Linked DNA regions of Ovis aries. The protein of the gene in region 1 interacts with the protein of each later gene in a biochemical or structural test. Links are inferred from orthologs where the notes say so. Each region holds a gene or a part of one and is shown on either strand. Other genes may lie near its edges.

Region 1 (7,261 bases):
CAATTAATGTAACTTTAAATTGAGGTTTTTGGGTAGGGGCAGCTACTTAGAGTGTCATCAAGTTTTCTGTACTTTTTTCTATAGTCATCAGTTCAGACCTCACCATTTGGTGTTTATACAATTTACTTTTAAGTTAGTTTAGTACTTGAAATATATTCCTGATTAAACTTTAAACTTACTAGTTTTTATTCTTCTATCTTGACTATTCTTCTATCTTGATATTTTAAATACTAGTCTCTAGTAATTATCCATCAACACGTTAAGTCATCTGTATGATTTAAGTATATTAAATATGTTTTCCATGTCTCCATCCACATTTAATAATATGCTAGCTTAGGAACAAACAGCATGCTGTTAGAGTCTGTTCGGGTTGACATTTGGTCCAGTATCAAGTACTCTTAGGTATGGTTGTTCAACTAGCTAAAAACCCATTAATTTTTCTATCATCCAGTTCACTCGTTAGTCTTCTTTACACAAAGGTCTTGAAATATCTATTCAAAATGTGCTGGGAGAGAGTATGGCATAATTAAAACTTGCTTTCAAATACTGACTTCAGTCTTTGCTAAAATGAGTGAGTTTAGCCAATCACTTAGTCTCTCTAAGCTTCAGGATTTTTTAATCTGAAGGAGGCTAATTCTACCACCCATAATATTCCTCCCTCTATATCATTTATATGCCTTTGGATGCTTCTATTGTATATCACATAGAACAAGTTCATCTTGGTTCATTTTTGTGACCAACACCCAACAAGGCAGATGATACTTTAGAAGGCCCCTGAATGTCTGCTAAGCTAGAGTGAACCTCAGTTCTTGTGATCAAAGTGTTATTTAAAAAAAACTTTAAAATATGTAGACAATAGCTATTGTGACTAAGAGATAAAAGGAAATAAGGTTAGTTTGACACAGCTTGGTCTTGGTGAATCTATGTTTCTACTCCCTTGCTAAGGGTTTATAAACTAGTCCCTGTGGACTTCCCTTCTGGCTCAGATGGGAAAGCATCTGCCTATAATGCAGTAGACCCAGGTTCAATCCCTGGGTCAGGAAGATCCCCTGGAGAAGGAAATGGCACCCCACTCCAGTACTCTTGCCTGGAAAATCCCATGGATGGAGGAGACTGGTGGGCTACAGTCCATGGTGTCGCAGAGTCGGGACACTACTGACCAACTTCACTTTCACTTTCTTTAGGCTTTTACATGGGATTGGTAGAACACATTGGTCTACAGATTAAAATCCAGTCATTCCCTATTTGGGAAAGTTAGGACTACATCTGTTTATTTCCAGGCTATTGTTCATAGATTTTTCCTAGGTCACCAAGAGAAATTCTGCAGTTACATTTGCAAATTCTTTCAAAAATCTTATTTCCAAGGACTTAAACCTCATGAACCCATCACATTCTCTTATCTACCAATTTGAGCTTCAGTACAGCCTTAATGATGATTGTTATGCCTCTTCCAGTATGAAGATCAAAGTGGTAACTTAACCAAAGTTTGAGGGTGTGAGTGAATGGACCCAACCTTAATTCATGAATATGTGACCTTGTATTACTTACCAGTTTATATATGTTGTCTGTCTCTTTGTCTACCACCAGCAGAGAGGTCTGATCTCCACCCTTTCTAATCATTTCCACCACAGTGTCATGATCAAGGGACTCCACAGACTTGCCATTGACAGCAACCACCAGGTCATTGTTCTTCAAGCCAGCCTTTTCTGCTGGACTTTTGGAATCTATGTCCTTGATGATTTGACCTACCCACCCCCCAAAAAAAATTTAAATAGAATTACCAGAAAGATCCATAGAAAACAAACTGGGGGATTTCTGCTGGGGCCTAAAGCCTTTATAAAATAGATATAAAAGGCATGCTGAGTACAACTCCTTCCCACTAGGATATCTATACACATCCTATCCACCTCGCTCTTTGGTCAGAACTCATTCTAGGAATAAACCCAGTCATTAATAATGAGAGTCTTAAAGAAAAGAATGTTATTACTAAAAGTGTTTGGGATTCAATCTTGGCAAAACAGCATGCTAAGCAGTAAGGGTCAGCAAAGTCCCAGGAAATCAGTGTGCATACTTGTATGCTTATGTAGAAGCTAAGCCATAAAAAAAGGGGAGGAGAGGATGGGAAGAATGGTGAACAAAACCAAAGAATTCAGACCCCAGGAAACCCAAGCTAGCCTTTTAGTAGCAGTTGGGCAAATTCAGTTGTGAATGGATCTGTGAGTGCGTGCCACACAGATGGGTGTTGAGTCTTCAGGAATTGAACCATCTTCACCAGAAACCTTCAGATCTCTCACCCTTAATTTTTTTTTGACCCTCATACAGTTTTAACAAGCTCCAATTTCACTTTTCCAGCTAGTTGCTTGGCATCTCTTGGTCACCCGTTAGTGGGAGCACCATCCTCCTGTCACTGACAGGTAGCATGATTCTTCCTCAGCATCCACTCCCTGTGTCTAATCAGCCAAGTCCTTCAGTGCTACCTTAATATTTTTACACATCTCTTCTGGAGCCCTAGTTCCTCCACCTGAAATGCAGTTTGTATTCATTCCTGCCTTGAATTCTTCCTAACCTGCTACCTTACCAGCTGCTCTCCCCTCCTTGTTTGCCTTCTCCAGTACAGACCTGCCTTCAGATTCATCTTGATGCACCGTCTGAGCGAGTCACTCCCCAGCATGACAGCGTGAATGTGAGCTTTGGAACTAAACAGACCTAATTTTGATTCTAGCTGTACTAGAACTATTTGACCATATAAAAATTGTTGTATCTTCTTCAAGTCCCCAGTTTCAGCAATTCTTACAAAATTATTAGGAGTAATTGAGATGTGTAAAGCCCGCAAGACAATGTAGGTTTAATTTTTCTTCTCTCTCACACTGTTCAAAAAATAACTCCCCACTAACTCTGAAAATAAGTCTAAACTCCTCAGCATGCACTAACAGTCCATCATATGTCTCTCCGACTGACCTTTCTAACTTGATTTTCTGTGCTACACTTTAAATAGCAATCAAACTGAGCCTGTGTCTTCCTGCTTTATTCACGCAATCCTGTCTTCATGGATTGGACTTATCTGTCCCTACCCCATCAACTTGCCTAAATTCTATTCATACTATAAAGCCAGAGCTCAAGTGCTACCTTTACTTTGAGGCCTCCCAATACCTTTTTCGTGAGGAAAAACTCGCTCCAGCATTGAATTTCCATAGTATCTTACCTGCCCTGTTTTAAGATGTTTCTTACCATCTACCTTCAGTTATGGACATATATGTCTTATCTCCTCTAGTAAATAGGGGTCTTCTTGACTGAAGAATTCTTATCACATTCATTTGATATTCTCAAAGATCCTGAGGATGTTTTTATACCATATGAGTCAAATTAATGTTTCATAAATTAATGTAAATATATATGATGGAAAGAAAATGGTAATTCTGGGTGAATAAGTTTTCATGGCCTGAACCTACATTTTTTTTTTTCGTAATGTATTCAGCTTGTGTAGGAGGACCTTAATTCTTACTGAATTACAGGGAATCAGAAAGACTCCTGGTTCTATTCATGTCCCAGATCCCCACCCACACCCCTGCCTCAGATCTAGTGGGATGTTGGCGCTGTCACACACCAGCTCATGAGAATACTTCTCAACTTCGCGTTCTATGACAGCTGTTGTAGCTTGAAATCAGACATGGTGGGAGTATTTACACCACAACGAAACAACACATACTACAAATTAGGGCTTTTTTTTAACCCCCCAGAGAGCCAATTTACTGGCATGCTACTGCTCAGATCCAAAATTCTGCTTTATAATTCTGCTATGAAAACCTAAGGATACCCTGATGGGGGGCTGGGGGGCCTAATGGAACTCTGGGGAGTCAGACTGGGATGAAGAATTGGGTGGTTACACTGCCAAGTTTTCTGCTCTTCAAGTGCCTTACCTTTCTGTTCTGGGCTTTCCCTCAGGTAGAAACCATAGCCATTGCTTCCCTTCTTCATCTCTACAACACGGGGCTGGCAGGGTAGCAGTTTCAGACTGGCTGTTTCTCTCTTGACTTTTATCTTCTGCTCGCTATGGTGCTTGTCAGTTTCCTTGTCCACAAGCAGGAATGTGATGCGGCTTCCAGACTTCTTCACCTGCAACAACAGTCAGGTGAGGACCAACATCAGTCTCCAAGAAAGATGCTGGGAAATAGGAAAGTTTCTGTGTTGAGGCACACAGTCTATAGATTAAACAGGATATATGGGATGTAAGTCCTGAGCTTAATTAAGCTGTAATACTGTTTTGTACCACCTCACTGGTATTTATTTATCTTCCCTTATATAGTTGTTTTTCCCTTTGTTAAGTATGACGTCACCCACACAGATGCTAACTGAACCCAAGTGAAAGCCAGAATTCAGAAAACCCAGAAAGGTACTTAGGTGAAGACTAGGAAAGGAATTTGGAAAAGAAAGTAAAGGTCTACTTTGAAATACCATTCTACCAAGAAAAGATACAGTTGGTCAATTTTCAAGGTTCCATATGACCCCAAAGAAAAACCTCTGAGTGTTTTCCGTGCATCCTGCTGGGGCATAAGACTTGGGGTATAGCACATCAGATACTCCCCATGTATAACTCGATATTCATCACCCACACTAGTCATCTTCCAGCTTGTATTAAAACACTTTAGTAACATTGATTCAAGATCGAATTTACTACAAGTTTAGAGAGTGATTCCAGTAACTTACACATAAGATCCAGAAGATAATGGTTCTTTAGAACACTTTTCTTCAAGACAACATGAAACTAGCAAAGGCCTCATTCCAAAGCCCTATGTTAACACTGCTTACACCACTAATGAGTCCGTTGGCTCTTAATACGAAGGTTTAGCTTCCCATATCACAGTCTTCCCATCATAAACTACCATTCCTGTCTTCCTGTCACTTCCAGTGAGAGCAGAGTGAACGTTAAAGGCGAGAAAGTGCTCCTTTGGGATATACCTTTTCAACCACCTCCTCGTGGCTGGCATCCTCTACATTCTCTCCATTCACTTCAATCAAGTGGTCATCAACCAGCACTCCAGCTTTCATAGCCACACCTTGAGGTTTTATATCAGTCATGTACACTCCAGTTTTACCTGAAAGAGAGTAGGGGGTAGACAGGTGTCACAGCTCCATTACACTGAAAGTCTAACAGCAAAGGGTTTTCTCCCAATAATATAAAACTAGAACTTTGCATTTTAGGACTAACTCAGATAGACTTTGATACAGAATGACAATTAGAGCTCATAGCACAAACTTGACACAGCCATTACTCAGTTGGTTTTTATTGATTTGAATAGGATTTCTGAGCCCAAATAAGTACAAAGAAGGAATCGCAAGTGGCACTGGCCTCTTGAACCAGAAAGCAGCGAATCGTGCCCACTCAGCATCGCTGTGTCATTCTCCCTTTCCTTTGCATTTGTAGAATTAGACGGCATCTGCTCTGTTCTGGCCTCTTTAAAACTATCACCAACTACCACAGCCCAGTGGACTGAATAAATCTCACTGATGCAGGCTAAAGCACACAGGCACAGGAAGAGAGGAAAGCACAGACACATATGGTCAGGCTGGATTAGCAGGGAGGAGGATTCAGGTGCTTCTTAAAGAAGTGCTGTCAGTGCTGTCGAAATACTAATATTTCAGCCTAGGCAAAGGGTACCTTCATTATGACTATATAAACCATTTGTAAATAATCATTTAAACTCTGCTTTCTCAAATACTTGGCATTTCTCCTGTTACCTTTTTATATGTTTGTCCTGAAGAAAACATTTTCTTCATAAAGCTAATTTAAACCTTTCACCACAGACATTACACAAAGGCCAAACGAATAGTCTGAACTGCAATTTCTTACTTTCTTTCTTTTCTTTTTTTTACCATATTACTGATAATAAACCTCTGAGAAATGCCAAGCTTCCCTTGACCACCTATATCACTGTGTTTTAACAACTGGCAAACTCAAGAGATATCTCATAGCTAGTTTATTTCTCTTGCTAATAGGTTAAATAAGCCTTAGAAACCATGTGTAGTATTGGTCTGCTCTTTCCAAGCCAAGCCTTAGTTGCTCAGTCGTGTCCGACTCTTTGCAACCCCATGGACTGTATATAGCCCACCAGTCTCCTCTGTCCATGGAATTCTCCAGGCAAGAATACTGGAGTGGGTTGCCATTTCCTTCTCCAGAGGATCTTCCTGCCCCAGGGATCAAACATGCATCTCTTACGTCTCCTGCAGTGACAGGGAGATTCTTTACCAATAGAGCCACCTAGGAAGCTCTTTATCACTTAAGCAAATTATGACCCACCACCAGTGCCTTTCTAGTACAGAAAGAACAGGGAAGGAGAAACGTTAGAGGTGGAACCAAAACCCTGACCAGCTATGGTTCCAACCTCAATCCCAGTGAAATCCAAAAAACCACAGGCAACTGTTCATGGGTCAGCCTGCAACTCTGAAATTCTAGGAACAGAATCTAGTACTTTCTGATGGTTGGGGTTTCTCAAATCACTGTACCTCTCAGCTAGAGGTCAGGGAGACATCTCAAAGCATAGCCACAGCTGAGGGTACTACCTTGATGCCACAGGAGGGTGGGGATCTTGGCCGTGCCTGTGGCAACTCTTAACAGCAGCTGATAACATAAATAAATGCTCAAGGATTTTTTGAATAAGTGACCACCTGGACACTCAGAGATGAAAAGAGATATCATTCTAATTCAAAAGTAGCTCATGGAGAACCTCCTTTTTCTTGCCTCTTATTCTCCATTCTCTCCTCCATCTTTACCCCCAGAGAAGCATCAACCCTCTAACCCTCTGGCCTTGAGGACTCAGCTTAACAAGCACAGGCAGATGGGAGCGCCCACAGTGCTGTTGCCCACCATCCTGATCCCTCTTTGCAGAGCTGTACAAAGGAAGGGCCAGGGGAGAGAGGCTGCTGTTGAATCTCCGTAGCAATTGACAGTTCGTCAACAAAGTCATTAACAGATACCAATCTCTCTCTTCCAGAAAGCTGCTTGTCCCTGCCCCACCTTCAAGCTCACCTTGGACAGTTTTCAGAGAGAAGCCATAGCTCCCCCCCTCCTTCACTAGGTAGCAGAGCCGTGGCTGCGTCCACATCTGTGCTCCTCCGTTCATCACAGAGGGTGGCTTCTTATCGTTCAAACTCGACTCCTGACTTTGACCCAACGCTTTCAAGTCTACTTGCTTTTTCACGGCTTTCTCGTAGGAATCCCCATCCAGAACCAGTAAAGTCACTGAATTCCCACTCTTTCTGACCA
Region 2 (7,261 bases), on another chromosome or scaffold:
TACCCCCAGATGGAGACGGTTCTGAGGGACCCTCTGGGCCCTTGTCTAAAGGCTGAGTTCCTGCCGTGATGGAGCGGTGTCGTTAATTTCCTCATATGAACCAGAAGCCATTTTACTACTAGGAAATATGACTGTATTATACACAGGCCTATAAAATCACAACCACCAGCACATGTCTGCCAAAAGATTTAAAAAAAAAAAAAAAGAATGCAAGCTGTTGGATCAGCTACTTCTGAGTTTTTTTCTATTAATTTTCCTTGGCTCCGCGTTCAATCATCTTGTCTGCTAATACCCTCTGGAAGACAAGGAGCAGAGGGTTTAAGAGAAGGATGGAAGGAAGCGTCAAGACGGATCAAGAGGATCTTAAGCTGCTCCTCCGCTCCCACCCGTCTCTGATCTGGTCCCACCGCCCATCCAGGGACTGATTCCTGTGACCCCTGCCCATCCCCAGCAAGAATCAGTGGGGGGTGGACCACAGCACGCCATCTCCCAGTCTGGCTCGACTCAGTCCCAAGCCTGTTGCCTCGGGGCCACCCTCCCGCTCTCCCCTACGTCTCCTATTCGCCTCTACTTGGGCCCCCTGCCCCATCACCAGCCGTCATCTTCAAGTTCCCGAAGTAACTGTCCTAACCGAAAGCAGGGCGCATCCTTCCTTAGCTTGAATGATTCTGCGGTTTCTACTTGGCTTCTCGCGTCTTCCTTCCAGTTGCAGAGGCCGGCTGGGCTCCGAGGACCCCAGGGCAGAACAGTAACCTCCCAGAGGAACCAGAAGGGGCCAGACTGCTGCCCTTGGGACGCGACCAGGCTTGGTTTTGAGTCCTTCCCACCTCAGGCCCTTTGCACATGCCAGGACCCCCCCACCCCCGCTTCTTTAAGACCTGGAATCATCCATCAGGGCCATCGCCACGGGCATCCCCTGGGACGTCTTTTCTGACGCCGCCGGCTTTAGGCTCCCCTGGAATGTGCCCTTCACAGCGGTCAGGCCAGCGGTCTTAGACGCCCCTACCAGGGCTTTCTTCTCCAGCACCTGGCTCCTCCTCCAGCCCGCTAGCTCTGAGAACGCAGGGACCCTGTCTGCCTTGCTCCCTGGTATCCCCCGGTGTCCGGGGGCGTGTGAAGTGCTAAGGAAACACGCACTTGGTGACTGAACTGAGACGCACACACGGGGAGGGCGGCAGGGTTCCAGGGTAACCAGGTTCCGGGAAGCTGGGAGGTTCAGGCTCCGCCCACCCCAACTCCCCCCGCTGTCACTCACAGGTGAGCTCCGCCCACTTGGCCCCTGGGTTGTTGATGCCGCGCAGCGTGAAGCCCCTCAGTCCGTCGTAGAGCAGCTCTCGGTAGCGGATCCGGAAGCCCAGGAGGATTCCGTTGATCTTGTCCTCCGACGGCGGCTGCAGGGCAGGGGGTAGGAGGATGGAGCCGGCTGGGCTGGACCGCGGCCCCTCCTTCCCTCCCTCCCTCCGCACACCGCCTCCCGCAGGCCTAGAGCAGGGACTGTGTCTGGACCAGGAAAAGGAATTGAAGTGGCACTGAGCAGCTTTAATTTCCGAGCATTTCCGGCGAGGTTATTCCACCCCTGTAGCATTCTCTGTGAGGCAGGGCACGGCAGGGATCACGACGCCATTCCCACCGCACAGAGCAGAAAAACGAGGCTCAGAGATGGAAAGGAGCCTTCCCAAGGTCACCCAGCATCGTGGGGGCCCTGAGCACGACTCTGGATGCAGGGCGAGTCTTAGAGTGTCATTCCTTGTCTAGAAACTTCCTCACATGATCACCCACCCTGGCCAAGATCTCTTGGAGTTTCCCAGGAGTCAGGGAACTACGTAGAGGCCCCGCCCTGCTGTACAGCGAGACCCAGGGCGAGCGTGTCTCCCTGAGCTGCGCCTCTGTGTCTTTATCGTTTTCTCCTTTGCTTTCTGCTCCCGTCCTCAGATGAGCTGGAGAACAGGCTTCTGGAGAAGGTGGAAACTGCCTTTTATGACACCTCTTCTAAAAAACCTGCCGCAACAGTTCAGCTTTTTATGAGCTCCTTAATTGCGTCCCTGGCTGCATCTGGCACCTCCCTGCTGCTCACTCCATCAGGACGGCCCCGCCCTGCTCCAGCCTCCACTGGCTCCTGGTTGCTCCAGGTCATTTTCTCTTTGGGGACCGTCCTCCTCAGGGCAGGCCTGGGGATGGGGGAGGGTTGGGGAGGGTCCCTCCTGTTTCCTCCTCAAAGGCTTCCCCTTCAGGGGATCGGCAGGTGGGCAAAGGTTGGCACCTGCCCCTCTAATCCTGAGAAAAGGAGACACTAGTTCCTGGTTTTGGGGCCTCTGGGGGTGACTGGACCCCATGGCTGGACTTCAGGGGGTTGGGGAGGGTCGTGAAGGTACCCAGGGGCAGCCGGCTCTCTGAGAAGTGTCCTGGGTCTTCCTCCGGCCATGTGAGAGGCAGTGCCCACATGAGCAGTGGCTGGGGGTGGGCAGGGATGGAAGGGGGATTCTTTGTACCTGGACGGTGGGTTCCTGCTCACAGGTCAGAGCCCGGCCCGGGCACAGGTGAGGCACACACACCTGTGTCTGGTCTCTGTTGGGAACCCCTTCACTCAGAGCAGGGCTGGGTTCACGGAGACCCTGGATGCCCCACGCCTGTCTCTGTCCGAGGATTCTGCTGACCTCAGGGCACCTAGGGCCAGCCAGCAGCTGCGTGACCTGGGACTTTCTCATCCCCTCCCTGAGTCTGGGTCCTCATCCACACAAGGGTATGTGGCGGGATCTGATTACGGGGAGAGGAGTGAAGGGTGTGTCCGTATACATGTGAGCGTGCGTGTCTATGCACGTGGGCACCGTGTTCCAGTCCTGCCGGGGCTGGTGAATTGCTGGTCCGAGCACAGACTGTGACCGAGTCTGCGTGGGACATGGGCCCCTCCCCACCTGCCGGGCGTACCTGCCATCGGATCAGCACCGAGGTGGTGGTGTGGGGTGTCACCGACACGATGGTGGGCGCTTCGTCGGGGGCTGTGGGGAGAGGTGGGCAGCTGAGCTCTGGGGCCCCTGGGAGGCCATGGGGACCAGGTTCCACTGACCCTGGTCCTGTTTCAGGCATAGTCCCCACCCCCACCGCCCGCCCCAACTCCTGCGCAAGAATAGCCAATGTGGATGGGGAGAGGGGCCGGGACCCTGACCCCAGCGCAGACCCGAGGGCCTGGAGCCTCCCCTCTCTGCCCCCCACGGGTCTCTCCACGCTGACGCGGCTTTCTGGGGTTGGCCATGAGCTCGGAGATGTGAGGACGCCAGGCTGGCTGAGGGTGCTGAGCCCTGGAGAAGGTCCCTCGGACCCAAACCTCCTTGGGAGTCTGCCCAGGGAGCCAGACCAAGGATCCAGCAGGCCTAGGGTCCTTCCATCTTTGGAGGCCTCCTCGCCACAAAGAGAATGCCCAGCACCCAGCAACTGCCCAGGGGACCGAGAGAGAGACCCAAGCAGAGGGTGCTGACCGGCTTGCAGGGTGGTCAGGGGCTCTGACTCCTCGCTGAACTCGCTGTCTCCGATGTCATTGGTTGCCTTCACGCGGAACTTGTAGGATGTGAAGGGCTTGAGCCTGTAGAGGAGTCGGAATAAATGAATGGGGGAGGTGTCCCTCTAGGTCCCCCCAGGGCAGCCCCAGAGGGCGAGGGTCCATTACACAGACAGGAACATGGAGGCTCAGAAGGGCGGTCTGCTATGAAGGCAACAACCTGGGGCTTAGGCCAGGCCCTGGGGCCCCTAGACCGGGCCAGCTCGGGGCGTGGCCTCACCCTTGGTCCCAGCTAGACGCCAGAGGTCCCCAAGTGGAAACGTCCACATATTTCCTACTTCGGAGGGGCCTGCAGGCGGAGTAACCCCACTGGGAGCTGATCCTGCCCCTAAGAACTGCCAGCCCGCTCTTGCACTTAGTAAATTCAGGAGGGGCTGAGGGTCTCAAGAGTTAACCAGCACTTCATCTCCAGGAGGCTCATTTCCTCTCCAGGCAAATGGCTTCCTTTTTGATTTATTGGGGGTGTGGTGGGGGGTGGGGAGGAGAAGAGTATTGCTCAAAACTCTCGGTCACGTCAACTGGAATATTAAAAATACATCCTAGTAGGAATTAAATTGAAGGCAGGATTTCGGAGCGGAGCTCCACTCCCCTATTAAAGATGGAGAAGGAGATGCCGGCTGGCTGGCGGGATCCAGCTAATGAAGAGTGGCCAGCCTCTCTCGAAGGAGGGGCTTCTAGACTCCAGAAATAGATAATTAAGAGGCAGCCCTAACAAGGCTCCAGGGAGGGTGGGGAGGGAGGTTCAGACACAGCTGGAGGGGATGTGTGTGGATGGGGAGGGGTCTGGGGGATGGGGGCTATGGAAACCATGTGGGGCTGGGCTCCGGGCCCCCAGGAGTCCCTTTCAGGGTGGTGCGGCCCCGGCTGGGCGGGGCAGGGTGGAGAGGCTGGTGGCCAGACCGCGGGGCCTCACCGGTCCACGAGGAAGGTGGAGGCGTTGTGGCTCACGGAGGCTGAGTGCAGCGCCCACCGGCCGCTGGGCAGCTCACGAGTCTGGATGGTGTAGTAGCGCACGGGGGACAGCCCGTCGCTGCCCGGCTCCCAGGACAGCAACACGCTGCGTGCCTTCACGTCCTCCTGCTGCACCACCGGCTTGCTGGGGGGCTGCGGGCGGTCTAGGGGGGTGCGCGGAGCAGGGGGCAAGCCGGTGAGCAAGCGGCAGGGGGATAAGAGAGGCACGTTCTCGCCCACCTCCCCAGCCCATTTCCACGCATAGCGGACCCAGCAGTTAGCACTGGGGCTCCTGGTCAGCGGTGGTCCCCGGACTAGGAGAGGCCTGGGTGTCTGGGAATTCACCCCACTCGCCCCCCAGGGCTGACAGTGAGAGGTGTGGACATCGGCTCCTTCGACCCGTGTCTGCACGGGGCTGTGATGGGACCTAGGCTGGTCCTGATGGAGTGGGGCTGAGCCCACGTTCCCTCCACGGGACTCGGCCTGTCTGCCCCCCGTGCGTGGTCCCCTCTCGTGTCCCCACGCCCTGTGGCGGGGGTTTTCTGCACTTTGGCTTTGGGTGAATGGGTCTCTATTGACGGGGCCCGTCCTGCACACCGTGGGCTGTGTGCCCACACCCACTAGATGCCAGGACGCCTTCCTCTCCAGGTGTGACAACCCAAAGGCCTCCAGACTTTGCCCAGTGGCCCAAGTCACCCTGGTTGAGAACCACTGTCCTGGGTTTTTTTTTTCTGGGAACACTGTCCGATAAGTCAGGTTCACAGGGGTCTGGGGATCAGGCCTGCTGCTGGGGAACCCGATCCGGGGTGGGAAGCCGGGTCAAGGCCACAGGGCAAAGGCAGCCGGGGCTCCGGGCTGCGGCCCCGTTTTGTACCCAACTGGACCCCTCTGTCAAGGGGGCAGGGAGTGAGGAGGGAAGTTGGCCTCACCAACCCGCCCTTTGGAAAACCAGTACCGGCTCAGAGCAGGGTCCTGGGAAGGGGACCGCCCCGCCCAGCTCCGGAAGTCTACTGGAGCCCGTGCCGGCCTTGGGGACAGAGAGGGGAGCCCATTCTTCATTCGGGACCAGGACAAGAGACTCACAGCTTGTCACTGGCCCACCCCTGGCGGGGCACCAGGAAAGGGGGTGAGTGCCTGATCCCTCCCCAGCCCCAGGGGATGGTTACCTCTCTTCTCGGTGGTCACCACCAAGGCCTCGGCAGCCTCTCCCCACCCCTTGCGGGTCTGGGCCGTGATGCGGAACAGGTAGACAGACTCCGGCTTGAGGCCGCTGGCCGTGAACTGGCGGGCGCTGGGCGCGAGCACCTCCACAGCGGCGGCGTTGGCCGAAGTGGCATTGAGCCGGTGGGTGATCTGGTATGCTGCGGGGCGGGAAGGGGGGTTGCGGCGCTGGGAGGCAGGGCAGGCTGCCCCCAGGGCCCCAAACCCGAGGCCGCCGCAGCATCTGCCCTCGAGCCACTCTGGGTCGCTCTTACATCCTCAGCTGCCCCCTGGGGAGTGTGACTCTGGGGGCCTTGGACCGGTGCGTCCCACCCCTTACCCAGCCCAGCCCCCAAGGAGGACACTGAGGCTCAGAGAGGCCAGACCACCTGCCAGGAAGTGACCGAGCTGGAAGTCCAGCCAGCCCAGGTCTTTCTGAGTCTAAGTCACGTGCCCTCCCCACCTCCACTCTGCAGAGGCGTGACTATCACCGGGAGGTGCCGGGATTGAGAGCCCTGAACTGGACACACGTGGTCCAGTCCCCACGTTACAGGTGAGGGGCTGAGGCCGTGGAGGGGAGCAGACGGGCTTAAGTTCACACGGCTGCTGATCTCAACCCTGCACCTCCTCCTGCATGTGTGAGTGTGTCTGTATGTGTTAGGGGAGGAGCCTTGGATATGAAATGATGCTTCCCATCTACAGCATCCCTGCTGGGGGCCGTGGGCCCCATTTCCCACCTGTGATAGCCCCTGGGCTGAGCCTGTCAGGGTACCCTGACCTGGCCACACTTGGAAGCCATGGCCGAGGTTTACCAGATGGCCCGTCGCCTGGGGCCCTGGGGTTCTTGGGGCACAGGTGGCTGATCAATGGTCCTTCCTGGCCCTCTGTGGGGGTACAGAGCTAATCAATGATACTCAAGAGACCTGAACCTGACCGTGCCCTCCAGCTGATAACCTTACAGTTTTTAAGTTGACGTTTAGTCGACTCACAGTGTTGTGTTGATTTCTGCCGCGCAGCAAAGTGACTCAGCGATACGTGTACACGCACACTCTTTTTATAGTGCGCTCTTCTATTACGGTTTATCCCAGCGCACTGAACACAGCTCCCCGTGCTCTACAGTAGCGCCTCGCCGTCCATCCACCCTAGGTCAGCGTCTGCTGACCCCAAACTCCCCCTCTCCCCCTCCCCCTGGGCCACCACAAAGCTGTCCTCTGCCAGACTGAGATTTCTAGTGGGAGAAGTCAGACCCTTTCTCGGGGATATGTGAACACTGCCTGGGCTCAGTCTCCCTCCTGCCCACGCAGAATCTGCCTCCTTTGTTTCTTACACCTCCTGCTTCTGTGGCCCGGGCCCGGGAAGGGGAAGGCCTTACCAAGGATGATGCCGTTGGGGGCAGCGGGGGGCTGCCAGACCAGCCGCACCGACGTGGTCCGCACCTCCGGGAACAGGATGCCCACGGGGGGTCCCGGGACTGGGGGGCACAAGGGAGGAGCAGGTGACCGAGTGGCCACCGCTCGGCCCTCAGACCCACCCTGCTCCCGCAGAACAGCTCGGGGG

What was found.
Region 2: the proteins of PDZK1 (region 1) and SDK2 interact in a test that uses a peptide from one of them, tested with the Homo sapiens proteins (2 studies listed by IntAct, with this or other methods). The link is inferred for Ovis aries from reciprocal best matches to the Homo sapiens genes PDZK1 and SDK2.

The regions. Positions count from the first base shown.
Region 1 is NC_056054.1:99,018,122-99,025,382, forward strand, and holds part of PDZK1 (Na(+)/H(+) exchange regulatory cofactor NHE-RF3), read right to left. Parts: coding exon 7,025-7,261; intron 5,094-7,024; coding exon 4,957-5,093; intron 4,114-4,956; coding exon 3,918-4,113; intron 1,746-3,917; coding exon 1,549-1,745; intron 1-1,548. UniProt on the Homo sapiens protein: A scaffold protein that connects plasma membrane proteins and regulatory components, regulating their surface expression in epithelial cells apical domains.
Region 2 is NC_056064.1:57,164,561-57,171,821, reverse strand, and holds part of SDK2 (protein sidekick-2), read right to left. Parts: intron 7,176-7,261; coding exon 7,077-7,175; intron 5,866-7,076; coding exon 5,671-5,865; intron 4,669-5,670; coding exon 4,467-4,668; intron 3,578-4,466; coding exon 3,474-3,577; intron 2,997-3,473; coding exon 2,926-2,996; intron 1,392-2,925; coding exon 1,256-1,391; intron 1-1,255.